4 linked regions of the Medicago truncatula genome follow. The protein of the gene in region 3 interacts with the protein of the main gene of each other region in a pairwise test. Links are inferred from orthologs where the notes say so. Each region holds a gene or a part of one and is shown on either strand. Other genes may lie near its edges.

Region 1 (6,065 bases), on a different chromosome or scaffold from region 3:
ATTTTATTCTTTGTTTATTTCATGGTTGAGCATAGGTGGTTGGACTAAAACTGTCATTTCTGTGCGTTTCTGGAGTTGGAAATAGGGAGATAGGACTAAAACTGCAAAAAACATATAGTTTAGGAACGATTTTGTTCGATTTAAAAAAGATATGACCATTTTCGTGAGTTGGTCAAAATGATAGGACCAAAAGTGTAATTAAAAAAAGGTATACATAATCTACTTTTTCTCCTTATCTATTCTGATTTCTTTAGTTATTGGGATTCAATAGAGTCGCGAATCAAGTCTTTTTTAATTGTTCTCTGGATGGAAATCATGATAGTGTTTTAAAATATTCAGAGTGTGACCAACAATTAATTAACCAGAAGGTTTATGAATTATTTATTTGGATTTCTATCCTTAGCCATTTTAAATGTTATTGTTTAGAAGAAATCATTAGAACTTTAAAAACTACACCATTTATAGACAAATAGGAAATTGCATAGTTTTTTTTTTTTGGGTACAAAGAGGAAGTAGTAAAGTTAATGAGCATAAACTTAAAATAAAGATACTCAAATTAAACAAAACATGTTATTGCCTTTCATGGTTTCACCTCATAGAACTCAAAAAAACAGAAGAACTAAAAGATGAAAAATTGAAGAGTTATTAAAACTTGCTCTTGTGACTCTTATCTTCAAATTTACCCTAACAAATCAACAGAACTTGTGATTTATTAGTTTGAAGAATCAGATTTAACATTTGGTGAAGTGATGCTAGGAACATCTTCAAGAGGACTCAAAGGAAGACAAGAACTATGTAACTGCATATCACACACCATTTGTCGAAGTTCCGAAGCTTGTTCTTTCAATTGAACATTCTCTTGGACAACTTTATCATGAGTCTCACAGAAATTGTTGAGCTTATCTAGTAATTGATGATTTTCATTCCTTAGCCAAACAACTTGTGACCAAAGCTCATCAAGCTGTTTTTGTTTCCTCATTCGCGACCGGCGTGCTGACTCTCGGTTCGATACCATTCTTCGATGTTTTCTTTCGTTGATTAGACCTAGGTTTTGTTCGTCCGCTTCGTCGGAAGTTGAGTTGCTGCTTATGCATGAGGATGGAGGACTGAAGTCTTGGAGAATTTGAATAGGGTTTTGGTTGAAACCATAGAATTGGTTGGAGAGTTTTGGATGTTGAGGTGTTTGGATGGTGTTTTGGATCATGTTATAGTTACATGGTGGATAGGGAGATGGATCTGAATATGGGAGTAAATAATTGAGTCCTGTATTAATCTCTTTGGTTTGCATGGTGGAATAATGAATATAAGATTGTGAGGATTTGAAGCAAAAATTGTTGGAGTATGGAATTTAATTTGATTTGGAGATGGATGGAAAATGAGTGGGACTAGTTAGTATATATAGGGAGGGAAAATGGTGAAATGGCCCTATGGAAAGTAACAAGATGTCAATGTAGAGTAGATCATTGCACTCATGTCATCTTTCTATATATGCAATTAATATTATGTTAGATCTATGTAGCACTTACACATGGAAGATGTATTTAGTATCTGTCACATGTGATTACATTTAATTACTTTTATTTTCATAAGTTATTGTTGATGTTTGTGTATGTGTCTACTATTCATGTTTGTGTAAGTGTAGAATTACTTTGTTTGTGAGCGTCTCTGTGTCCCATGAATTTAGACTCTTCTGACAATCTTAATATGTCATTAATGACATTTATTTAGTGGATCATAATCATCTTCATTTTTCGAAAGAAATAGAGAACTCTATTTGAAGAAGAAAAAAAAACACAAATGAATTGAAGAATAAAATTTTTTTTTTTTTTTGAAGGATAATTGAAGAATAAAAATTGTTTAATATATTATCTATATTTTGTGTCTTTTAAATGAATCCATCCAAACTATCATTTTGGTATTTTAAAAATGATGGATTACTTTATTTTGGCTTAAAAGAGATAGCTTTTAAGCTCAAAACTCTTTTGATCATTTTTAATAAAGTTTTTGAAAAGCTAAATAGGCTAATCCAATCAAGCAAATTAAACATAGCTTCTTTATTCATGTACATGTATAATAACATCCATTATGTGGGATCAGGTTTTGCTGCTTTAAAAACAACACGCAGTTTTACATAATTTTTTATCTCAGCCGTTCATCTTAGATAGAACGGTTGAGATTGAAAACTGTGTATTTTTAATTAAAACGATTTCTACCATCCAACTGTGATCGGACGACTATCACTAATTACAACACCATGCTATAACAACACGGAATCCTATTCCCATTATGTGGGGCCTTAGGTTCATTGAACAAGCTAGATGGATGAATAAGATGTTACACATACATATAGATAAACACATCCACAACACAAGTGACACAAACGTGTGGGGGAGGCAACTTGGTTTAATGGATAATCATTTTTGGACAAAAAATATGCTTACATCAGATAAACTTATACAAAAGTAGTTCATATAATGGGGAGTATAATAATTCAATTGGAAGACTGTTTAGGCTAAAGTAGGTGCAGGAGAAAAAATGGTGTTCAATTGAAGTCAATTTATTTTATATGAACGTGCGTAGTGTGTTATTTCTAAGATGATTCTCTTTTAGATAATGGACCTGTTTACTTAAATGACATAAGCTAATTGGATGAAAAAGAATATTGAAGAAGGCATGATATCAGCTATGTTTCTAATTATAAATATATTTTGGTAAAAACATTTTTGCTTAGGCATTTTAGTAAAAATAAAATGCGTCCCTCAAATTATTAGATATATTTATTATTATTTTTTAAATATACTCCTTATTATTGTTAATATGATACGGTTAATTTGTATTGGAAGATGAAAAATCATAATTGGATGCATTTATAAACCCTACTACTTTTCTTTATCTATTTGAAAATTACCAATATTATATTAGTCTAGGTGGAACTAGACTCAAATCTTTTAAGTAAGGTCTTGAATTCGAGTTGTGTGAATGAAAAAATGTGGTTGGGAGAGAGACTTTGCTAAAGAAGGTTAGTCAGATTTTTCAACTGAAGTTATTCGATATTTCGCAACAATAACATAGTTATAAAAAAATTCATGTGAAAATTAAAAAAGGAACTTATGAAAAGTCAACAACGCTGAAACTATTTAAGAAAAATTTAGCGCTCTATTGTGATCTGATCCAACTTGAACGATTAATCTCTGCAATTATATGCGAGGATATACCTAATGTACACTAAAGTGGGGATGGAAGTAGTAGTTTCAAAGAGCAAGAAAGAGTGAAAAGTTTATGAATTTGGTGACTCAAAAACCACTCAAGTATATAGATGCAGGGACCTCCAAAAACAATATATAAAATATGGAACTAGAAGCCAAATCTTGATTTGATCAGCAGCCACTTATGTTAATTTTTAAATATGGTTAGGTAGTAATCATTTATTTTAGTAATGACAGTTTCAACAGTAATCTCAAGGTAAAAAAAATAGGTAAATCATTAGTTAGTTACTTCCACGCCTATATTATGTGAAACAGATGGGTGTATGCTGTGTTCATTGTACACAGCTGTTAAAAAGTAAAAATAGTTGTGTACGTACTTGCCCAAAACTAGCTTGGTGACTTATACGTGTATAGTGTAAGCCATTCAAAAAAAGTTATATGATCACTATTTGCATTAACCTCTAAAATAGAAACTTGCATAAGCAACTTTTATATGTTATGAAACACAATCACCTCAAGCATGTGATGACAGGCACGAGTCGAAGTTCAACACTCGTATGATATGTGTCAGAAATTTCAGACTGATGTTCTAAAATATTTGTTTTATTTTGCTTTAACACTCTTTAGATCGGTGTTCAAACCCGTATGATATGTCTCGCTCAAACTAAGTCAAGTATCCAAAAGAAAATAAAAATACCCATTGCTTCAACACATCTAATACCGTCTTTGAACACATCTCAAACACATCTAGAAGAGTTAAAGATGTGTTGAAGCTATGTTTGATCAAATAGAGGTTAAATATATTAAGTGAGATTACAACCTTATTAATTTTTTCGATAACAGATGGATAAATAAATGTTATATATTATTATATTTTGTTTTTTAATAAAATAAATTGCTCAATTTACATGCAGTTGTACATAATTTGATCTCAATTTAGATATTCTATAAACAATATTAATATTTTATTTAATTATAATAAATTAATTAATATATGTGTAGCGGTGTCGGTGTTCTAAGTTTTTTACATTAACAGTGTTGATGTGTCAGTGTCCGTGTTTAATAAGTTATATGTGTGTGATCTATTTAACTAGTGTTACTTATTAGATGCAGAAAGTAAAAACAATTAATAATAAGATATAGTATGAAACTTTAGAAGAGAGTTTTTGCTATGTTTCTATGTTCAGTCATAGGTGCTAGGTATGTCACACTTTTTAGTCCTAGGTGCTAAGTATGAGAATTTTTCAACCGAAGGCACATGCCCCTCTAACGTGGGATGGCATGCCTCGCGCGCTACTTCAATGTTTGCACTCTCGGGGGGCGCAACAACACCCCCAAGGGGCACGAGTAGCCTTAGGCAACGCATTTTTGCCGTTTTCTTTGATCTTTCTGTGTGTTTTCTTCCTTGAAACTTGTCTCGTAACTTGGAATATAATTTCTTCTCTTTGCAATGTCTTTCGAGACCTCTTGAATCATCATCCATTATCTTCCCAAACCCTCTTGAGATGCTTTGCTTTGCCGATTTGTATGATTTTACATTGAATTACATCAAAACACCTAAGAACTGCTTGGTTTGGGAACGCTTTAAGGTCTTGCAGGGTTGTAACATGACTTAGGTTAAGGTGGGATATTTTTTTGAGAGTCGGCTAATCAAACAACTTTGAGTTAGATTTTCAACCTACGGATTCCTACTAAATATTGAAGTATTACCAATCTTCCTTCCTTAAACCGAAATTGTTGAACCATAATGAGTTTTATAAATGCCTCATAAGTTTTGATGATTACAAAGTATAAAAGAACAATTGGATATGCTAATGTGTGTTCAAATGTGTAGGACATTAAAATTAAATTCTAACTCTTAAGTCAAGTTTAGGTTCTGAAACATCAAGGATTTGAACACATAAGATAGAATTTGAACCAAATAGAGAAGCTACTATGACTTGAAACAAGATCTAAAGAAAGGTCAACTAGAAAGTCAACATCTTGTTCATAAGAGAATTTTCATTCAAAATCATTTGAAGGAAAGAAGACTCTGATTGATCAGGGATTTGAGAATCAAGGAATTTGAAGAATTAGGATCAATGGTTATTAGAACGTAAAGACAATACAAGTTGGAGAAATTTCATCTTACGTTTCAAGCCATTTGAAGACGGGAAGAACGCTTGAAAAAGGACGAAAAACTACATAATTCCCCCCTTATCGTCGTTAAACATATGAATAAAAAACCTAATCTTCCTTGATATTGAACTGATTGATCAGGCAACCAAGACTTGGAAAGCTCATCTTCTGGCTTTCCTGTTTGATCTGCATACCACTCAATATACCCCTTTTACCACAAGTTACAACTAACACCTTGGTATGGAAAGGAGAAAAGAATGGCAAGTATTTTGTATGCAGCGCTTACCGAATTTGTGCTTAAAACATTGGAGACACTTCTCACCTTCAAAGGCCGGGACATTGGAATTTTATTTGGAATATCAAATCTCCGTTAAAGGTGAAAAATCTGATTTTAACGGTATGTTATGATTGTTTCCCTACTTATGCACGCCTTATCAGTAGAGGAGTTGCTTGCCCCATTGATTGTGTTATCAGTAACGAGGGTATTGAAGATACCATACATGCTCTCTTTACTTGTCTCTAGTATGTTCAGGAATGGCATACAACAAACTTACGAGTTGATACTAAACAAATTTTGAGCGAACATGATAATACAAAGGCGATTGTGCTTAAATTACTACATCACCTTCACCCGTCACAAATGTTCTCTCTTTGAAACTGTTTTTTGTAGCTTAAGGAAATGTCAGAATTTAAAAAGTATGGTAACACATTGATGAAACAACATCAGAAGTTGTTGAGTGT
Region 2 (7,029 bases), on a different chromosome or scaffold from region 3:
ACTCCATTACATCACAACTTAACATTAATTTTTTTGAATGGACACTGCAATTTAACTAAATCTAATTGAGGCCAAATAGTATACAACCTCTTTAATTTTATCTTTATAATCCAATCCAAATAGTATGCATCTGACAAAGTAAGGTGCATGCATTGACAACTGAGTAGTTGGAAACTTTTGATTCATTTTGAATTGACAACAGTGACACCTCAATGTGTCACTCTACAAGGTTTAATGATCTGAAATTTGACTCACCAATTTTAGTTCAAACTTCAAAAAACTTTCAAATATTTTTAGTCACTTTCCATGAGGTTGAACTACTACATCTCACAATTATGAGATAGTCTATTCAATTCTGATATGTGCCTTAAAAGCTAACTCAATTTACTCTTTCTCATTTTAGTAATTCATGCCATGAAATCGGTGCATACCTTTGCACTTTATAGTTTTCTCAGGTTCATGTACATAGCAAAAGTTTCAGTGAGTCAAAGACACCAAGGCATTCCTATTGTGAAATAACAGATTGGAATTGAGGTGTATATATGGTAATATATATTGAAAGAAGACAAATTTTATTTCTTTTAGAGCATGAGCAAAATTTGCTATCTTTGGATAGAATGATGCTACCATGTATCTGCGAAAAAGCTTCTTATATTTCCCTTTGATTCTCAAAGATAATATAAAAACATTCTCCTTTTTACTAAATATAAGATTTCTTTGCAGAAAAAGTGCTTATAAATATAAGCAATATCCTCTAAACAAAAATATAATATAAGTCACATTTTTAAATGGGAAATGTTAAGTATATTAAAATAAACAAAAGAAAAATAGTTCTTGGGATACTAGACAAAAACCCAAAAATCAAAGATGTGCCAATACAATTGCCTCCCAAAAACTTTAGAAAATCCAGTGAGATAAAACATTGGTGAAGAGAAAAAGAGTGCGTCATAACAAAAGCAAGCAAAAATAAAAACATATGAACGAAATCTAAAACAAAGAAGATTCTGACGATTAAGAAATAAATTCTCCTTTGATCGTGTATTTTCTTATAGGTCTATGATTAAGATAATTTATTTTTTCTTTCTACTTTTGAATTACATATTTCAAGTTGCGATTGAACCGATTCCATAGGTTTCTTATGTATCCATAGGTATTATTTGGATAAAAAGGTTCATTCTCTTTGTAAAAAAAGGAGGTAGAACCGATAAAGATTTCTTTTTTTATTTATCTCCAGAATTGACTACCTCATTTACGAATTGTTTAATACAACGAGATAGCGAATCTCACCAAGTAAAATTAGATAGAGAGAATACATTATTGACTATGTGATCAACACAATTGTTTTCTTGTTTGAAAATGTGGCTAACTCTTGTGAGTTGTGATATATACACAATATATTTCATGATAATCATGACCTTATATAAGCTTATTCAAATAAAGAGGAAATCACTTTGATTTTGACAAATATCATATTCACCCTAATATTGCTGTTTTTTCAGGAAAATCAGAGCCCAATAATTTTCATAAGAATTGTATCATTATGTGATTTTGCAATTTCCATGAAAGTGATTTCCAAAACTCCTCTAACGAGTTATAAATAAGCTCTAAAGTAGGAGTGGTTATAATTAATGCACAAGGGAACAAACACACAATCTTTTAGGGCTGTGACAAAATTTTCAAAACAGAAAAGTCCAAAATAAACAATGGAGAGGGAGCTTACAAATAAATGAGATTATAATTGCAAGAAGCCAATAACATCTTTATCTTTATAATAGGCTACAAAAATTGACTTAAAAATAATAATGCAGCAATAAGAGAGGTATATTCACGGTTTTTGATTCCTACCTACCTCACAACTTTCGTTCATTTTGTTTGTGGGACATAGCTATTTATCATAACACGTAAAGAAGTTTCACAAATGTGGTTCTTTGTGAGAGAAAAACTTAGTCCTAGTCACCCTATAAAGTAGGCCCTAGGTTTATAGGAATAAGATTGCAAATGTTAGTTGTTTGCATTAAAGAAGCAAGGGCAATTTTCATATTATAAACCCCACCCCCCTTTAATTCAATGACCTCATGCAACAAAATCTAATCCACTTTAAGATATGTTAGAAGCTAAACCTCTTTGTCAATCTTATAACACAAGGAAATGATGGACTAATTCCTTCGCTTGAATTATCATTCTCTTTTATTTCTCAAGGAAACTAGGGACTAATTTGAAGGATTAATAATAATTTAGGGATTATTTAATATATTTTTATAGTTTGTGGATTAAGTTGACAAAAGTGTGATAATATAGGGATCAAATTGATGGTTTATTCCATAAAAGATAGAGCGTTGCTTGCACTTTTTCTAAAAACAATTGAATTGATCAGTAACTCTTTAAAACACAAGAAATATAAAAGACATTTTTAACTCTGCCTAGCAGCGCAGTTTGTTGTCGGCTTGCCTTCTATTCATGTGTACGGAATTCTTAATATATATAAAAAAAAAAACTATCAATAAAAGGATCGGCTGATTCACAAAATATATTTTCATAAATCATATATAATCAAAGAACTTTTGCTCTTGGTTTTCATATTTTGTTGAATGAATATTATTGACCCTCCAAAATCTAACTCATGGGCAATCACATGGGAGAGAGTTAAGGAAACAACAGAAATAGGTTTTGAATGATATGGATAATACATGGTTAATGCAGAATCCTATAACTCAAATGTGAAGCAAAAATAGATGAGAAGTGACACATGCCTAAAGAGAGCACAGAAAGTGGGGAGGATCCTTTTTTTCATTGGTCAATTTGTTTTGCTGTCTTTCATGAAAGACAAATCCTAATAAGATGCTTCTTTACCTTCTCCTACGTGCCCTTGTGGAAACTTACACCTCTTTCTATTATAGAAAAAATTTCTGCACTTTCATTTTCTTCTAGGACAGAGAAAAGGCTTGGAGAGTTATAAGTGTCAATAAAAGAGAAAACAACACATGAAACAAACAAGTACTTTAACTCATTCTGCGAAGTACCATAGAACTTTGAGCCACTGCAACCAATGGAGAAGTTTGCCAGTTATTATAATAATAACATTCAACCAAATAGGTGAAATTAACATAAACTCTCTTCTCAAGGGTGTGATTGTAATTTTACTCCTAAATTTGTTAAGAGCCCTAATTTGAATGAGCTTATGGGAGGACCTACGTTATGGTATGGTCTGACTATAGCAACACTAGTCCAACTCAAATTTATTTTAAAAAATATTAAACTTTTACAATAGTAGGAGTTCAACGCTAGATTTAATGAAGAGAGTATTGAATTTTTACAATGTGTTGTATGCTTGAGTCAAGTATCATTATTTATAACTTTTGATATGTACAATTTATTAAGAATGATTGAGCTTTATCAAAATGATTTTATGGACGTGCTGGAAGTGGTGGTGCACCATTAGTTTCAGAATTATGTTAGAAATGTTCGAGGTGGCCTCAATTTTACAAAGTTGAAAGGACTTTCAGACCTTTGTGCAAAGTTTGTAAAAATAAACAAGTGCACTGCATTTGATGTGGTGTATAATCTTATGAAATTAGCTTTGGTTTTTCCAGTGGCAACTGCAAGTGTTGACCGTGTTTTATGAGTTATGAAATATGTTAAGAGTGTAACTATCTAAAAACATGAATGATTAATAGTTTTTTTTTTTTTTGAGAGAATGAATGGTTAATAGTTAAATGATCGTATTGTAACTTTTATAGATGAAGGTGTTATTTTAGCTCATTTTCATCAAATGGGTGATAGACTATTTTCTTTGTAAATTTAATTGTTACTTACTACTAATACATAAGTGTTTGTTATTTTTAGTATAATTTACTTTGCCAAAAATTTTAGCCTCACTAACAATTTATTCTTGGGTTCGTCCGTGAATGAGCTAAGGCTTGAAAAACATGTTTATAGTATCCCAAATTCTAATATGGCATCGGAGTCTATCCAAAATTCACCAGGCCACTTATTATTAGGTCACCGCTACCAAATCACCCGAGTTACGCTTCAGACGTCCTGTTGTCGGTGTGAGGAGTGTGTATTAAGAGTGCACATTGGATAAGATAAAGTCTAAAAATGAGTTTATAAGCGGTGGACAATCGTCACCTGTGGATATGGGTAGTCGTCACCTTACAAGCCGGTTTTGTAGGATTAGTAGACCTCAAAAATAAAAAATACAAACAAACCACGTACATCCTTAGCAATGTTGGAGTGGTTTCCGGGAATGAAAATCAGCATTATCTCAAAAATCATTAAAGTGAGAAGATGATTGATTATGAGTGTTCAACTTCAACTATAAATGCTTCATTGTGTCAAAAGAGTTACATTACATCTTCATATCTTATATCCCTTATTTCTCTTCCTTTTCTCTTCACACCAACACCGACTCACCTAGCTACACATTAACACACTCATGTCAACACTAAACCATCTTTTTGATCTTCCGGAACAAATATGCTATGTACAATGTGGATTCTGCAATACCATTTTAATGGTAACCATGAGTTTTCTAATTGCACTTCTTAAGTTCATGATATTTACTTTCAATACCTATTTTTTGTTTTCATTTTCTTCTTTTGTTTTTTAACTGTTTTCATTTCAATTGTGTGATGCAGGTAAGTGTTCCATGCAGCAGTTTGACAATGGTGGTGACAGTAAGATGTGGTCACTGCACAAGTCTCTTATCTGTTAACATGATGAAAGCTTCTTTTGTCCCTTTCCACCTTTTAGCATCTCTTACTCATCTTGAGGTCATAAGTTAAAGTCACATTTCCAATACTTTGTTTATTTTCTTATAGTTAGGTATTTGTATTATATACTAGATATTAACTTAAAAAACTATTTGTGAATATTTTCACTATGCAGCAAAAAGAAAGTAGTAGTCCAGATGAAGATGCAAACAAGACTTTGAACAGTAATACTAGTGCATCCATGATGACTTATTCTGATTGTGAGGAAGATGATGTAATTCCAATCAGCAATGTTGTCAACAAACGTATGTAACAAGAAGATAACTTATTGAGTTTGAAGCAAGTTTAGTATATAGTATATACAATAAAAAAAAATTATTTATTTGATGAATGAATCATTGTTCTATGCAGCACCAGAGAAGAGACAAAGAACACCATCAGCTTATAACCGCTTCATCAAGTAATTAATATGTCACATTAACAAAAGTTACACTTATCATAAACTTGTAAATTTTTTAATTCTAATATTTTGAGTATAATTTTAATGCAGAGAAGAGATTAAAAGGCTAAAGGCTAAAAACCCTGATATGGCTCACAAGGAAGCTTTTAGTACAGCTGCAAAAAATGTAAGGTCTAATTTTCAAAATCACATGATTATATATTGCAGAACCATGTTCAAAACTAACTAGCTATTAGTTCCACTCATTTAAAACTATAGGAAATTTTATAAGATTGGTGAATTATTCATAATCTTGGATTTTTTTTTTATATATATTTTCAGTGGGCTAATTGCCCCCCAACTCAGTGCAAAGGAGATGAAGAGAGCTGTAGCCAGACAGATCAATTTGTGGATCTTGACTCCCAAGTGGACCCCAATGAAGCAGAGGTAAAAACATAATTATTTGAAGATTAATTATCTAAGTTGTTTTCTTATAATTCACATTTAAGAATTATTTTAGCTTATTAAAACTTGCTATAAGTAGGAGATTCTTTAGGTTTGGCACTGTGTGCATTTATAGTGGTACTTGTCCCTTTCTTTATATCACATGGTGAATAGTAAAGGTATAGTCCATGCATTCAATGGTAAAGACTTTATACCCTCATGTTGTTGGTTTCCATTCACCATGACATTGATCCACCAAACTAGAAACTTCTTGCAGATTCTAAATACATTATATTATATTATTGACTGTCAAAAATTACCAAGAATTATAAACTAATATATATATATAGTTTTAAATATAAGTCAAAATTAGTCAAAAAATTTTATGTATTATGTACTAGAAGCAATGAGTCAACAAGAGTACATTTGAATAAGAGAGGCTAAAGTAGCAATATGACACTTCAATAAATAAATAAATACGTACAACAGGATAATACTAATATAAAATGACACAAAATAATCTTGTTATGTCTAGCAAGTCACTTTCATGACATGTAATTTCCATAGAAAACCCTACCTGTTTTTGTAATCTAGCAGTACTTGACAATTTTAATGACTGCATCAATATCACTTTTCAGGTGAATGAAGAAGAACAAGGATTCCGTGGAAGAAAGGTACCAAGAAATTCCATCTTGGAAAGGACACCATTTGAGTGAATGAATGAATAAGAAAGCTCACTCTTCTGCATATATGACAAGGAAGAAAGCTGCATGCATCTAATGAAGTCATTTTCCTTCTGAAAAAAAGAGATGCTCTTGTCTTGGTAATGAAACATGAATTAAGTAGGTTCAATCTAGAGATAACAATTTGTGACACTTTAGAGTTTGTTTAATAATTGACTATTTTATCTGACACCTTTTATCTGTTATCAACTCCATGAATTAGTAGTATTCAGGGTCAAAGAAATGTTTACCAAGTTCTCATGTCTTAAACTATAATAAGAAATTATAATTACAAAAAAAAGAAAAACTATAATAAGAAATTAAATATAAGCCAAACCTCTACAATCATTTTGACTAGAAAAAAAAAATTAAGAGACCGTCCAGGGTTGTTATAAGTGAAGGCCATATATCTCTTAAACAAATTTTGGTTTCAAGTCTTGTGGTTTGGAAAAAATGTAATTGAGAGAGGAGACTTCATTAGTGGTCCGTCAAGTATTCCCTCATATTTTAATCATAAATAAAATTGATAAATACTTTTTTAAAAAGGATAAGTTGATGATTACTTCGCATCAATAACATACTTACTAAACAATCAAAAATGTGTGGGGCTATATTTAATTTATTTATTTTTAGCAAATTACACATGAATAAATAGTAAAAATAGAAAGATTTTTTTAAAAGAACATATATGTTTTTAAACATTTAAAAAATA
Region 3 (7,878 bases):
CTATCCTCATTTGTAACAAAGACAGCATTAACCATATATACCAACAACCAAAGCCAAAATCATACACAAGTTTGAATATGCAAAATTTATATGTCGGGTTATTTGGGTTTACTACCTTTTTCGTGACAAGGAGAAAATGCTTCATTCTGCAACTGGGGTTTTACACCAAGATGGAAATAAACAACAACTTTTGAGCAAGCTAGCTCAGTTATTTAATCTGCATGTTTTTTTCCAAATTACTAGTCGAAACTAGAAATGGAACAAGTTCTAATTAAGAAAACACAACACAACTACTACAAATTGAAATCCAAGGACACAAATGAAGCAAATTAGACACAAACATAAACATAGTAGTACTCTTAGTCCTAGTTAAAGCTTGAAAAACAAAAGATAAATTGTAGTACAAAACCGGGGGACTGAAATTGATAAATCTGAATGAATAAATCAAACCAGATTTTCTTCATTCCCACACGGTATATATATATATATATAAGCCATTGAATTGAAGTTGAAACATCTGAAAAATCCAAACCCAAGTTGCTTTTGAATTCCAATTGTAGCTCTTTCAAAACCAAAAGCTCTCTCCCAAAAAAGACCGTCTGCAACGCAAACCGTGAACCTGAAAAAACAGTCAAAACACAATAAAAAGAAAAAATTGCAGTAAGAATAAAACAGAGAGAAACTCAATTGAAATTTTAAGAACTGGGTATTGAAGGTAGAACCTGAAAGTTTGGATTATTTTTATCAGTGTTCCAATCAATGGCGAGAGTCGGAGGAAGCAGAGGACGGTTTATCGGATACGCCGTCGTGTTCCTCTTCACCCTGAATTCGTGCTGGTATACGAAAGCCTGAGAATCCACCACCAGAGACAGAAGCCTGATGGATCATCGGCGAAAGATAGTGATGATGGTGATCAACGATATTCGCCGTCGCCATTGAAGGATCTATCCAAGCACGAACTGAAGGATTGTAACTGGACTGAAGGGGTCCCCTCTGAGTAAAAAACTGACCATAACCGCCAAACGCCGGTGCCGGTGTACTGAACACAAATCCAGCACCATGGCCACTGTTACCACCATCTGCAGCATTAGCATTAATATTATTAGCATTCCAAGCCATCATTCTATTCAATCTGCCGTTATCATGTTCCTCTTGATGCTGCTGCTGTTGTTGCTGCTCAGACCACAAGGTGCTTCCACTTCCACCACCGTCGTAACCAAGGGAGGAGTTTCCGGCGAAAAGCACTTGGTTATTGTTATTGTGGTGGTGGTGGTGGTTGTCATGGTGGCTCTGAAGCATAATAGGATCTTGAAAAGATTGCAATGAGAGACGGAGATCTTGCTGCTGGGTGGTTGCCGCCGTTCGAGAGAGTAAATCCGGCGGTTGTTGATAATTGTGAAAAGATGTGGTGGGCGTTTCAACTGGGAAAAAAGACTTAATAGTATCCGCAATGTCAGTGTCTAACGAGCCTTGAAGAAAACCATGTTTCCCACTGCTACTACTGTTGTAGTCTATCTCCAACTGTTGTTGTTGGGAAGGAAATTGTTGTTCGTGTGGTGGCATTCTTCGCTCTAATGCCGCTGAGCGGTGACTGGTAGAAGCGGTTACTGGATTGTTGTCCACCGGAGATTGCCGGTGAAACATTTCATTTGTTTGCTGCTGCTGCTGCTGTTGTGGTGTTGAAGAACATGTAGCTGTGGGGTTCCAAGCGGGGAGGTGAGCGAGTTCGTCGATAGCAGATTTAGCTTTTTTAATGAGCCAATCGACTGCTTTACTTGGCCGGTCGTAGCCGAGACGATCTTGCACGTCGTAGAATTGAATCGCAGTGTGGGCTGAGAGTCGTACACGGCGGTCACGGGGACCTTTCGCGGTGCAAACTTTACTGTGACGGTCTTTCCGTCCTGTTGAACGGACAATGTGACCTCCTTGTACCTCCACGATTTCTCCTCCTCCTCCGCTGCTGCTGATTCTCTTCGACGAGGTTGTTGCTGCTGTTTTTGTTGTTGTAGCTGTTGCTGTTGCTGTTCCTGTGTGCTGGTCGTGTATTGTTTCTCCCATCTTTCTTGCATATTCGATGGAAGAGAAAGATAATGATGTTGGTGGATTAGGGTGTGGTAGTGGTGGAAGAAAAGAAGACCGTTTTTTTGGTGGTTCAAGTGACTCTGGTTGTGGTTCTAAATCTAGATATTGTTGGGGTGGTTGAAAGTACTGGTGATGAAAATGAAAGGTTGGGTCTTGGTGTTGGTGTTGGTGTTGGTCATGATAGTGAGGATGATGCAGGGGTTTTTCAGATGAGGGAGATGAATTTTGTTCATCATTTTCTTCTTCTTCATTATCCCTTACATAACTTGAATTTAGAACAGAGTTATGGTGATGAGGGTCTTGTTGGTTTTGTTGATAAAGAGGATGATTATGATAATTTGTTCTGGGGGGATCCAGACTCAGACCCTTGTTCTGCTTATCTTCTTCCAGCTTTCAACAGAACAACACTACTACTAAATCAATGGTTTTGTTTCCTTTTCTCACACTCTAGTTGCAACTGCCACCACTTCAATTTTCCCATTTCCATCATCACCACCAAACCCAAGAATGCTTTAACAGTTTTGAGCCTAACCCATTCCTCTATCTGTCTCTCTCTAAGTCTGTACCACTTTTTGCCTTTTTTGCAAGTTGAATGAAGTGTGATACCAGTGTTATTGTTGCATTAATTAATGAATGAAAGTAGAAGAGAGCAGAATGAGTTGGTTAATACCCACTTGTAGAGGACGAGAAAGAGGTGTCCTGTTGTGAAAAATCCAGCAAATTTTCCATATCTCAACACACAGGAAGACAAGAGAAGGAAAGAAGAGAGAGAGATAACAGTAAATTAAGGGTATAGGGAAGAGGAATTCATTCTGGCCCTATAAGAAAGAGGCTTTTGATGATGATGGCAGTGACAAAGGGTGGCAGTGTTTGGTCAGAATGGACGTCCGTTTTATTTCATCACTGCTCTTCTGCTAGTTTTCTTGTACTCTACTTACATATTACCACCAACCTATCCAATTTTCATTCATTTACCTTTCACCAATTTACTTTCCTTCCATTTTCCCTCTTTTCTTTTCCTATTTTTTTGCTTTTAATTTCCCTCCATTCCTTGTTATATTATTTTTATTGAGAGATTAGTCATTTAGCTCCTGAATAGAATATGAGGCGCCACTTTAGTCCTTGAATGCAGATAAATTGTAAAATAATCCTTAAATATAGATTTTGTTAATCAATTTAGTCTCTGAATGCAGATTTCGTTAGCCTATTTAGTTCCTGAATGTAGATTCCGTTAATCACTTTAGTCCCTAAAATTGACCAATAGAGTCTACATTCAAGGACTATTTTACAATTTCTCAGCATTCAGAGACTAAATAGATTAATTCACCTATTTTTATTATTGGTAATTGGGAGTTTAACTTGCTTGTTACAAGTTAAAACTTTATTATTATTTCAAAAAGACAAGGGTGGATGTCTTTGTTGGAGGGATAGATCCTTTATATGCTACCACCACACCTTTTGAAAGGGACACCATCACAGCTTTTTTGGCCTTCTCTCTCTATCTTTACCCCTTTTATCATTTAAAAGAAACTACGCAGTAACATAGATCGCTGAATTTACTTCTTCCTCGAAACTACTTTACTTCTATCTGGTTTGTGAAATTACTGTATACGTCATCTTGGAGGCTTCCCTTCTCTTCCTTTTCTGAAAGGAACATTGTCTGCCTAAGTTTTTGCATGGTTGTCCTATTCTCTGCAAAGTCAAATTGTTTCTTTATGTTTGGTCAATCACTGTCTTAAGGATGTTATTTAAAAAACTAAACAAAAAATCGAGTTGAAAATACAAGTTAAATGGAATCTAAAGGGGTGAGTGGCGACGATGGATGGTCGGATATCGTTTTTACAATGGTCGTTTTTGTTAAGGAGTCTGTTTTATATGGTGACCTATATTTTGGTGGGTGTCGTCATTATGGGTGTTTTTAGGATGTTTATTTTGCATGTTCAGCCTATATATGACACATTTTATTTGTATTCTCATCGGTCTTTATTTCGTCTTGAGCAGCGATCTGGTTATTTAATAAAATTTGGTGATTTAAAAAAAAAAATACAAGTTAAATATATAAGGCAACTATACAATTTTTAATATAAAAGGAACTACTTCTACACAATTTTCTAATATAAGAGGTAGAACATCCACAATGATAATCGATTAATATGGACTTCTTAAATGGACTCTACATGTATAATTTTTTAAGAGAGAGACAGATATAAAAAATTATATATGTAGGGTCTAAATAGATCCCACCAATAACTATTTATTTAATACATTGTTATCTATTTTATAATATTAAATCGATTAAAATATAAAGTTACAAAATTTATATCAACGGTAGTTTATTAAAAAATTGAAAAATAATTAATAATAATATTGCCAAATATTAAGAATTACAATTTTTTTCAAAAGGATGATAAAATTACATAATTAAAACAATAACTAATTATTTGGTTTGGATTCATTATCCAAAATAATATAACGACACAGTGATTTTAATTATGAGTAAATAGGATAAGAATGGATGAATAATTTTTAGGGACTTTGAGAAAATGAGAGCAAAAATGAAAAGCCAACGATACACTGTGGTAGCATTATGGAAGTTAACTGAGCCATTTCAGTGAGCCATTTCCTGAAAAAAAAAGTATCTTAAAGATAATTGAGTCATTTCACTTTTCAATACAATATTAATTATTTTTTTCTCTTTATAACTCTGGTTAAAACTATTTTCATCATTTTCAATTCAATATATTCCACTTTACATTTATGATAGTGGAAAATGCACTAATATTTAACAAGTACACTTAAAATTATTTTTCTCTCTCCTTCATTTATACATTTTTCTTAATACTTGTGAAATGAGCTTTTGACTCGGTTAATCCGGGACGGAGGGAGTATATATTAGAGAAAACAAGAATGAAAATTGCAATTGAAAAGCAACAAAATCAACTCAAATAATAATTATTTTATTAAAAACTGGTGTGGGGTCCACTCAGGGGCGGTTCTAAGGCCCGGCAACCCCGGGCACTCGCCCGGGCTCCGGGCCAAATTTTTTGTAATTTCTTGTGTAAATCCCTATGAATTTCTTATATAAACCCCTATAAATTGGGCAATTTCTTTACATTTTTTATTATTTGCTTGCAATTTCTTATGTACGCCCTATAAATGTGTTGCAATTTTTTTTTTGCCCGGGCTTTACAATATTCCTGGCTCCGCCACTGGGTCCACTTAAGATGGTGGTATTAAGTGAGACTATGTGACTTAAGAGACCCTCAATTTTATTTTTCTACATTGAGTGTACCTATTAGATACCGGATCATAAATGGTAAAGACCCTACCAATGTGGTTGCTCTAAGGACTCCAATGAGTATTTAAGTAGGTCTCACTAACTTTACATCATTATACAAAAATTATTTATTTATTCGTATGAACTTAAATTGCTGCAACATTTTAATAATTTGAAAATACAAAAATTAACATTACAAATTTTACATTCCGTCGTTAAAAATAAAATAAAATAAATAATAATAATAATAATAATAATAATAATAATAATAATAATAATAATAATAATAATAATAATAATAATAATAGTAATAACAATAATAGTTTACTACTTTTTTTGTGGTGATCATGGTTACTACTTTTAATATTTTTTTATGGTGGCTGGAGCTTCAACCTCGATTCTTACATATATTATGCATTATTTTTATTAACTGAATTAATCTCACTAATACACTAATTTTCTTTTTCTTTTTTTGTTGGCTTAAATGCTCTTTTGGTCCCTTAAGTATTTAATTGGTATCACTTTGGTCCCTTAACTAAAAAAAAATTGTTTGAGTATTTTAAGTTTTTTAATAGTCTCGTTTTGGTCCCTTATGTTAGGTTTAATAAAAAACGTTAAGTGTGGACACGTGTTGTAACACTCCTATTTCTATTAAAGCAATTAAACATGCGAATAATGCATTTATTTAAGAAATAAAGGCTACGTCACATACAAATTTCAAAACCAATAAACATAAACATGTATATAAACTTCAACAGTCGCAGCGGAATATAAACCAGAGTGATCCAAATATACATGTCATGAATCAATAATCACATCAACATAAATGCATCTCAAAAATCTCAACATACGGGTAATCTCCAAACATAACAAAAGTCCAACAAAAGCTAATCTAGACTGACACAATGAAGCCTAGATCAGAGCCGACTAAACACTAAACACCGATATTGGAGAAAGCTCCCGATATCCACCAAGCACAAAAGTCACCAAGCACTACTCTTGCACAACGTCTACCCATCCATACAGACAGATAGGCGGTTAAAACCACTGGGGGTAAGTATTACATCATCATAAACAAAATAACAGTTAACATGAAAATTCAATATAAACATCATGCACTTGATCAATAATATTCACATAACAATGCTTACATCACACCCCAATATCTCACATCAATATTCATCAATCACATGTATCATGAACAAATATCAATTCACAATTATTCATACACAATCACCAATCACATACATCATGAACAATCCTCAATCATATTTCACGAACAATCACCAATCACATTTATCAATAAGACTCATGTCATGATATGCACCTATTGACACATATATGCATGTGGTACCAATCTCCTCAAGGTCGTCACCCATATCCAGACCACCAAGGGTCTCTGCAAGACCGAAGTTCACAAACTAGATCTCAAAATATCTCTACTAGGTCGGAGCACAATAAGGAATAAAACATCGTAACTAGATCTAAAAAGATCTATGCAAGGCCGGAGCCCAATAATGAATAAAACATCATATAAAATTTTAACACGACTATGATGCATGGACATGTACAAGGACTTGATAATGCGACAATAATCCATAATTTTCACCTCAATATATAGGACGACACCCAATTATATTGATTACCTCCACAACATTGCATTATTAAGAAAACATGCCCATACACAATTAATTCATAGTATTCATCATCTCACATCAACATGATTATCAATAATCAAAAAATGTCATTCAACATCAACTATCACATGTGGTTTCACCATTCAAGCATTCCTTACATACTAGGTAAGATAGCATACACCTCTCATGATAAACATCATATCCAATACAATCATTCATTCATACAACTTCACTTAGTCATATAAAAATGGTCACAACAATTCATAAGACAATTGGCTCAAGAAAACATTTCCGACCAAAAACCATATCAAGTGGTCACCGACCAACATTGACAAATCCCAAAGCAAAACGACATAGACAACTTGAAAACCTTCAAACAATCTTAATCGACAATGTATTCATGAATTTAAGTTGCCTCCGGGTCATTGGACATTAACCCAAGAACAACTTAAGTTCGTATGAGAAACCCAACTTCACATTTTCCACAATCCCACCCGAAAATCAAGTTTGACATGATTAAGATATTGTACTAACCTTACAAGCATTGCCTAAGCCCATAAGAACTGTAGACTAAGCTTGCAACCCCTTTTTGTTCATAAAAACCAAGTTTCGACAATTTCCAGAAAACCGAAAACGACACAATTACAAGCTTCAAACTATTTGGAAAATTAAAGTTTCAACAAAGTTAAATGTGTTCCAGTAGAAAAGTAGGTGAAAACAGCAAAAGAACACTTCAAAACGATCGCCTAGGGCCCCTACACGACCACCCCCAAGCACCTGGACACGGAGCAACAAGCATGTTGCCCTGTCCAGGGCGCCTGGTGCTGGCAGTGGGGCGCCCAGTGCTGGCTTACTGACTTGTGGGCGCCCATCGCCTTTGTT
Region 4 (7,938 bases), on a different chromosome or scaffold from region 3:
TAATTCTTTTGTGGTTAAGCTTGAGATGAATCTGATGTAATCCTATGGGAACCCTAGTTTGTTGAACTCATTTGAATATCAATGAAAGTCTAGTTTTAATTCATATTACTTTATGTTTAATGCTTTTTGTGTTTATCATCGACTACTAACCCTAGCTTTATGAATATGCAAATCGATCTTAGAGATTGAATGACCACTAACCCTGGCTTTTGACTTTGATCTAGGTAATAAGTTTAACCTAAGTAATCAAGCTAGAGATAGATCATTATTAGGCTATGACACAGGGATTAACGTTCTGTTAATACCTCCAACAGTTTCAAATTAATTCACTTAAGAGATTAAGGAGTTGTCACTTGCAGGGAGAATTCTAGGTCAAGAGATTGGGTAGAATTACTTTGTTAATCTATCGTTAAATTAGATAATCATTGCTTGAATTAGGAGTGCAAATTACCATATGAGAACTTCGGAGGATTCAAAGGTCTTAACCATACATCTCTCTAATTTTCTAAAACCAAACTTTTATTGTTTTTAATCCGTTTATTTTACAAATACCAATCTAACTTCCTAGGGCAACTTTGAATTTAATACATCTTTTTTGATAAAGAAATTGCAGAGTAGAAGTTAACAACGGTCCTCGTGGATACGAATTTATTTATTACTTCGATAGTTTTGGTTCACTTGCCAAATATCTATCATGACTCGTAGCCAAGTCTGAACCCCGTCCTGAGTTTGGATGAATCTATTAGGGAGGCAAAAGGAAAAGAAGAAATAAAAAAAAAAATACTAAAAACAATTAATGGTAGCTTAAACTTTTAATAAATGGTTCTCAAAGACTCACTAAACTAACACATCTCATTCTCGGCATAACCCTTGTTCAGATAATACTTTAACTCAATCAGGTGAGGAGTCGACGCTATTTTTCCCCTCTTAGAAGGAAGCACATGGGGGTCGTAGGATCCCACATATCATATCTTCGAAAAAAATCTTGAGACCCCTCTCATTCAATTTATCCTTCTCAAAGAGCATTTTCTCTTGCATGGCCTTTTCCAATAAACATCAATTCAACATAACAAAAAATTGGCTAAGGGCACCTGAATTAGACCACCCTCTTCATCCGTTGATTCGCGATAGATGCAAGTCATCTTCTTTGCATTCGTTGAAACCTTCCGAATTTGATAATATTTGTCTTTGAGAGAATATGTCGGGAGCTTAAAGATTTTACTCCCATGTTTGAAAAAGTACACGCATTCATTTCCTAAAATATTTCTACTCTCAATCCAGAATAGGTAACATAATAGAAAAATCAAGGTGTAATCCCCCATGTATTGGCACAATGACTCGTAGCCATGTACGAACCCCATCCTGAGTTTGGATGAATCTATTAGGGAGGCAAAAGGAAAAGAAGAAATAAAAAATACTGAAAACAATTCCTGATAAATTAAACTTTTAATAAATAATTCTCAAAGACTCACTAAACTAACACATCTCATTCTCGGCGTAACCATTGTTCAAATAATACTTTAACTCAATCAGATGAGGAGTCGACACTTATTTTTCCCTCTCATAAGGAAGCACATAGGGGTCGTAGGATCCCACATATCATATCTTCAGAAAAAATCTCGAGGCCGCTCTTGTTCAATTTATCCTTCTCAAAGAGCATTTTCTCTTGCATGGTCTTTTCCAAAGAAGACACATGCATCAACTAAAGGGCAACTCAAAGAACGTGGATTTAAAAGTGCAATTATCACAAACAAATCTTGAGACATTGCTGAAACAAAAGGTCGCATCATGTGTTACCTCCAAGTTACACCCGGGACATTCGAAGATAAATATCACCCGGATTAAAACTCACCACATTCTGTTAGCACCAAAAAATTGCATGAAGGTTACTTCGGATTTTTGAATGCTACAAAGACCTCGTCTCAAGCCAAAAGCCAATGACTTGTGGCTACTGTTTTGAACCGGGATGACGCACAATCCTCTATATCTTTATTCCACTATTACAAATAAGTTCCAACAAGGCGTCCACATGCTAGTATGATCTACCTGGATCAATGAAGAGTCATGTCGTAGAGAATCATACACTTAAGAGGTACCTGCTTTTCTTTTGCAAATATTATAGATGAAAGCACTTCTACTTTAAAGCAAAAACCAATTTTTATTTTGAATAAAAAATTAAGGTAAAGGGATGGTACCCGATCTAAAGCGTGTTTATAAAGGTATTTGCACTTTTTTCCCTCCAATTTAAACATCATTTTTTTCCCGCCCACTTTAAACAAAAACCAACTTGTTTCCATAGGTATTAATGAACATCTTAAACCAACTTTGAACTCCTCTTATGCTAATCATCTAACTTACTGATATTTAATTAACGACTGATTTATATAGGTTTGAGTGAGGGAATTTGTCAAATTCCCACTAATAAGCAGTGTGACCAATACTAGTACAACTTTAGAAACTACATTGTCTCCTGGCATCATGGGTCCATGGCCAATCATTGATTTTTGTCAATAAATATGAATTGTTAATGCAATGTTACCTCCTATACGTGACATCCTTTAAGAAAAACTCCTATACATGACATCTCTGCTTGATCTGCAAATGACCATTCACCTATAGAAAATGGTCACAACTCACAACTGCTCAACGTTACTCTCGATGTGAATTTAGACCAAGATGCAAACTGGTCCACCTATGACCACCCTAGTAAAAAAAATTAATAAAAAAATTGCACTTTTAGTTACACACTTTGTCGACACGTAATGACTTAACATATTAATAAGTTTAACATAATCAACAAAAGAATAATTAATTTTGGGATTTGATTCAGACCAATCACCTTTCTAGATAGGTAAAACAAGAGACCTCAAAGAATTACGGCTCAAGGGAGTGAAACATTCAAGGAAGGAATGACCTAAATTGTCTAAAGCTATAAAATCTTCTCAAAGACACCCCCACATCAATGAGAAGTTGTAAGGTATATTGGAGACAAAGGTATATATTCATGTATATTATTTATGCAAATAAAAATATGTACTTTAAAAATATATTGACCTAACCCATTGGAGTGTTTATATTTTTTGAGCCAAACCATATATTTTAAGACCAATGATTGGCATCATAAAGGAATAATTGGTAGGAGGCATATTACACCTGCAATAGGTATTAGATGACCACAAGTATAAAATATTGTTTTTTACTTTATGATATGGATCATGGGTCCATTACATAAAAAGTCTCCTTTATCCTTCTACTCTTTCTGTCTGTCCTTTCTTTTTATGCCTTGGATATGTTACACATTTTTATGTGGTCAATAATATTGGTCCAAAAAATTATAATTTATATTGATAGACTTTTTTTGGTTACAATATATCGATACACTTTGAAATTGAGGAAATAATCAACTTTGACATTCATAATTTATAGTATGTCATAGCATTCAATAGGCTAGTCTGAAGTTGACGGATTAGTGTGATTAAAGAATACTTCTACCGTCTCAAAATATATGTCATTTTAATATCTATATTTAAAAATGTAACTAGTTTTGAATGAGAAAGAAAAATTATGACTTATTTAACAAAATCGCTCTTTATTAATAGAATATATTAAAAGAATTAGAAAAGAAAAAAATTAATAAATAGCAAATGGTAGTATAATAGAAGAAGAAGACATTAATGTTTTATTAATTTTTGTAAAACAGACATAAATAAATGGACAAAATTAATCAATAAGAATAATATATGTCTGTACTCATGTTGAAGGGTGGGAAAAAAACCAAAAAATCAATTCGAACGGCTGAACTGAACCGAACCAAACAAAAAAAAATTGAGTCATTACTAACAATTCTGAAACTGAACAGAAACAGTTCGGTTCGGTTCAAAACAATTCAGTTCGATTCAGTTTGGTAACTAAAATTTAATTTCGTTTGATTTTTTTATATATTTTTTTTAATGGTACCAATAATAACAGTTCCGTTCGATTCGAAACAATTCAATTCAGTTTGAAACAGTTCAATTCAGTTCAAAATGCAAATAGTTCGATTCAGTTCAGTTATTTTAATTTTAACAAATAGTTCATAATTCGGTTCAGTTCAGTTAATTTAAATTTAACAAATAATTCGATTCGATTTAGTTTTCATCATAAACCAAACCATGCCCACTCCTACTCCTATTAGATAAAGTTTAGAGATTTAACTAGGATAAAAATAGTCATATACAAACTACATATTAGATTAGTGATGGAAAATGAAATGAAATTGCTAAGTATTGGTATTTGATGATTACCATATGTACTACATATTGCTATCTGCAACAAGATTTGCATTTCTATAAGGAGAAACGAATCTTAACGTGGCATGGTTTAGGTGAAGACAGAGAGTGGATGTTGACCCATCAACAAAGGGGATAATACCAAACAAATCCATCTCAGAGCTAAGATTAAATACACAAAGTGGTTATGTTTATTATATTCTACTAGTATATAATGTTTTGGTTGAAACGGTATGAGCCTAAATATTTTGTTTCTATGTGTAACAAAATCAACTTTATCTTTCTATTTTTTGCCAACTTCAATAAGAAAGAAAACTCAACTTGAACTCATACTGAATTTATTGTGTTCCCATTTCCAAGATCAAAAATGCATGAGTTCTTCATTTTTTACTATACTTTGTTTTATTTGATTTCTTACAAGTACATATATATAGCCCCACAACAAAAGAACCAATAAGAAAATTCAGGCGGTTACAAGAGAGATAGAAGAGTGGAGTAGGAGTCAATGATTCTAGTGGGTTCCTGTAATAGGCCCCACCTGTTCAATTTTATAATAAATAAGAAAAAACAATTTTTTTTTTTTTGTTTTATTCAATTTTTTTTATATTTTATTTGAGCCACCTTTGAACCCCACAAGTCTAAAAAATGAGCCTGAGACAATTTTTTCTGGGACAATATATTGTGTGAGTTTTTTCTTAATTCAATATATTCATTCAACTAAGGACAGTGTGTGAAACAGACTAATCAATAAGGTTTCTTCATAGAGAAGGAGAAAAGAAATTGATATAGACACCCCCCTTATAAAAGATAGAAAGTTGCAAAGAGGATCATATCTGAAGAAAAAGACTGGACCCTCTTTCTGTCACAGCCTACAACTTTAGATTATATTAGATATTATTACTTTGACAACAATAAGCTTTGATCTTTCTTTGCTTCTCTTTATACAATTCTAATTATTGATCATTCTTATAAGGTAATTACACAAATGACATCATATATAAGTATGCACAAACTATATACCATATGATTATATTTTGTTTGTTTATGTGAATTGAATTTTGCTTTATAGGATATGAGAATGGTCTAAAGAATATTTATGCATGGCGAGCCAAAGAATAGGAGAACTTGATTTTTCTGAGACAGGACATTCAACTCATCATGTCCCTTATGGAATTCATCATAGGATTAATAATAATAATCCTTCATCAAGCTTAATGTATGAGACAGTACTGTTTTATTCATTTTGGTTTGTATAGTATTTAATTTAGTATAATGTTTTTGTTTGTTTGTTAGGAATGAAGAATCTGGTTTTGATTTTGGGGAGCTAGAAGAAGCAATTGTTTTGCAAGGAGTTAAGAATGGAAATGATGAAACAAAAGCATGTAAGTTTTGCTTTTTTTTCTATCAAATACCACTTTTTTTCTGACCTTAGATAAGCATAACCAACTCTTTCTAAAAGTAGAGGGAAAGAAAGAAAAAAAGCAAAGGTTTGAATATGTCTAAAGAGTGCATAGTTACCATTTCCAATACCATAATGATTCTGAGGCAATAGACATGGGAAGGTGTGGGGTTACAAACTTGGAAACCTCACTTCCCTTTTGCATGATTTTTACTGACTCCATAACTGCTGAAATATAAAGTTAATAGATTAGGTTCTTCTTTTCTTCAATACCTTTTACAATTATTTTGGTAAAAAATTTAAAGCCTTTTATTTTGGTTGATCCTCTCAGATTTTTTCTTTCATGATTCTTTGCAGCTTTTTTCACAGCCAGACCTGCTGCTACACTGGAAATGTTCCCTTCTTGGCCAATGAGATTCCATCAAACCTCAACAGTAGTAATACTCTCTCTATCTTTGACCAATCTATTTTAATTATGCTTATCATAGATGCTTCTTATATAATGTTCAATTCAATTTCAAATAGAATGCATGCTTTTTTGTCATTGTTTTTCAGCCCTTGTCGCATCGATTCGTTTAAAATAATGCATGCGACGATATGAGCCGATTAAATTATATATTTGAATATACTAATGATTTGTATTTGGAAATACAGGGAGGTGGTAACAAATCAGGAGGTGAAAGCAGTGATTCAGCACTATCAAGCAAAAATGAGAACCCTTTTGAGCCAGAATCACCCTTAAGTAGTAAAAAAGCATCTTCTTTTTCATCAGATCATAATAATAATATGGATCAGCAGAATCTTCAGCTACAACAACAGAAGATGATAATATCCAATGATGCTTCTGCTGCTATAAGAACAGCCTCTTCATCACAGAATCAAATATCAGCAGCAGCCAAAGAAAAGGTTAATAGTAAAAAAAAATAATCACTGATACTGTTAAAGTGTTAAATCACTTAGTTATCTGTTTCCATATCCCATAAACTAAGGGAAAGTTTGGTCTTTCTTTATTTACTGTTTTGAATTTGTACTATCTTCTTGGTCACGTAAAAACAGCACAGATCCCAACAGATTTCAGAAAATCAAAACAACAGAGAGTTTTCCTGATTCCTGAACGATTTTCTGACATGAAAACATGATAGAGAGAGAGAGAGAGAAGGATACTAGTAGTATTATGTTGTACTAACAAAAAAACAAAGTGAGAATCTTTTGAGTACTTATCAAAGTTTTTTTTCGCATTAAAAAGTGACTCATTCTCACACACTCTTCACTTGATATAGTGAAAACTTGTGTTTCTCTAACACAAGTCTAAAGAAACAGTTCACAAAAAATGGCTGAAAATGATCCATTTTGCTATCCATATCACATTGAAGATGATTGCATTCCTACTGAAAAATGGTCAAATGGACTTCAACATTCTCAAAATTCAGTGAGCACACTTTAATATTATCATGCCATCTTTTTGTTCTTCATTGAATTAAAAGTGTAGCATTTTTATATGCTTAACAAATTTTCTATTTTTCCCTCACTCATTTGCTTAACCATGCATTTTTGTTCTACACTTGAAATATTTGTGTATGTCTTTCTGTTTTGCTTTTAATTAAATAAAACTTATATATGGATAATTTCTTTTGTTGTAGAAAAAAGGAGCTGGTTCAACATCAGATAAGCCACTTGATGCAAAGGTGTTTGTTTATATTTAAGTACAAATGTTCATTTTTATTATGTCTTTTTTTTCATGTTGATGTTTTATATGCTAAGGTAAAAAATTTGTACTTGTTTTAGACATTGAGACGTTTAGCACAAAACAGGGAGGCTGCAAGGAAAAGTCGTCTAAGGAAAAAGGTTTGTGTGTCCTATACATATACATATACATATAGATACACAAAAGTTGTAGAAAAATGTAAAAATGAAAGTATGAAACTTACTCATTGAATTGAATTTTTCTATAGGCTTATGTGCAACAACTTGAGTCAAGTAGATTAAAGCTTACACAATTGGAACAAGACCTTCAAAGAGCACGCTCTCAGGTACTAAAGTCAAATATTGTTATATAATATATAGTTTATTTTTATTATTATTTTTTACTTTTATTGATTAATTATTACATAAATGTTAATTTAAAATTAGGGTATGTTCATGGATTGGAGTGGTGGTGTTGGAGGCAATATAAGCTCTGGTGAGTTTATTTTTCATATGAAATTATGTGTATTTTCTAATTTGTCACATTCAGAAACTTACCATCATTTACTATAATTTAATTTTTTTTTT

The links.
Region 1: the proteins of transcription factor TCP4 (region 3) and basic leucine zipper 43 interact in binary tests that used the Arabidopsis thaliana proteins (3 or more experiments, as listed by UniProt). The link is inferred for Medicago truncatula from reciprocal best matches to the Arabidopsis thaliana genes TCP4 and bZIP43.
Region 2: the proteins of transcription factor TCP4 (region 3) and axial regulator YABBY 4 interact in binary tests that used the Arabidopsis thaliana proteins (3 or more experiments, as listed by UniProt). The link is inferred for Medicago truncatula from reciprocal best matches to the Arabidopsis thaliana genes TCP4 and INO.
Region 4: the proteins of transcription factor TCP4 (region 3) and transcription factor TGA9 interact in binary tests that used the Arabidopsis thaliana proteins (3 or more experiments, as listed by UniProt). The link is inferred for Medicago truncatula from reciprocal best matches to the Arabidopsis thaliana genes TCP4 and TGA9.

Annotation. Positions count from the first base shown.
Region 1 is NC_053048.1:6,000,270-6,006,334, reverse strand, and holds basic leucine zipper 43, read right to left. Parts: upstream 1,407-6,065; 5' UTR 1,289-1,406; coding exon 713-1,288; 3' UTR 517-712; downstream 1-516. UniProt on the Arabidopsis thaliana protein: Probable transcription factor involved in somatic embryogenesis. Acts as a positive regulator of BHLH109.
Region 2 is NC_053046.1:14,608,741-14,615,769, forward strand, and holds axial regulator YABBY 4, read left to right. Parts: upstream 1-4,344; 5' UTR 4,345-4,435; coding exon 4,436-4,516; intron 4,517-4,637; coding exon 4,638-4,772; intron 4,773-4,887; coding exon 4,888-5,017; intron 5,018-5,123; coding exon 5,124-5,172; intron 5,173-5,262; coding exon 5,263-5,338; intron 5,339-5,493; coding exon 5,494-5,598; intron 5,599-6,233; coding exon 6,234-6,311; 3' UTR 6,312-6,507; downstream 6,508-7,029. UniProt on the Arabidopsis thaliana protein: Essential for the formation and the abaxial-adaxial asymmetric growth of the ovule outer integument.
Region 3 is NC_053049.1:24,584,045-24,591,922, reverse strand, and holds transcription factor TCP4, read right to left. Parts: upstream 3,027-7,878; 5' UTR 2,059-3,026; coding exon 757-2,058; 3' UTR 723-756; intron 620-722; 3' UTR 172-619; downstream 1-171. UniProt on the Arabidopsis thaliana protein: Transcription factor playing a pivotal role in the control of morphogenesis of shoot organs by negatively regulating the expression of boundary-specific genes such as CUC genes, probably through the induction of miRNA (e.g. miR164).
Region 4 is NC_053043.1:42,414,964-42,422,901, forward strand, and holds the start of transcription factor TGA9, read left to right. Parts: upstream 1-4,935; 5' UTR 4,936-5,241; intron 5,242-5,337; 5' UTR 5,338-5,368; coding exon 5,369-5,484; intron 5,485-5,561; coding exon 5,562-5,650; intron 5,651-6,024; coding exon 6,025-6,104; intron 6,105-6,321; coding exon 6,322-6,573; intron 6,574-6,882; exon of another isoform or gene 6,883-6,997; coding exon of another isoform or gene 6,998-7,096; intron 7,097-7,307; coding exon 7,308-7,352; intron 7,353-7,452; coding exon 7,453-7,512; intron 7,513-7,619; coding exon 7,620-7,697; intron 7,698-7,797; coding exon 7,798-7,846; intron 7,847-7,938. UniProt on the Arabidopsis thaliana protein: Together with TGA10, basic leucine-zipper transcription factor required for anther development, probably via the activation of SPL expression in anthers and via the regulation of genes with functions in early and middle tapetal development.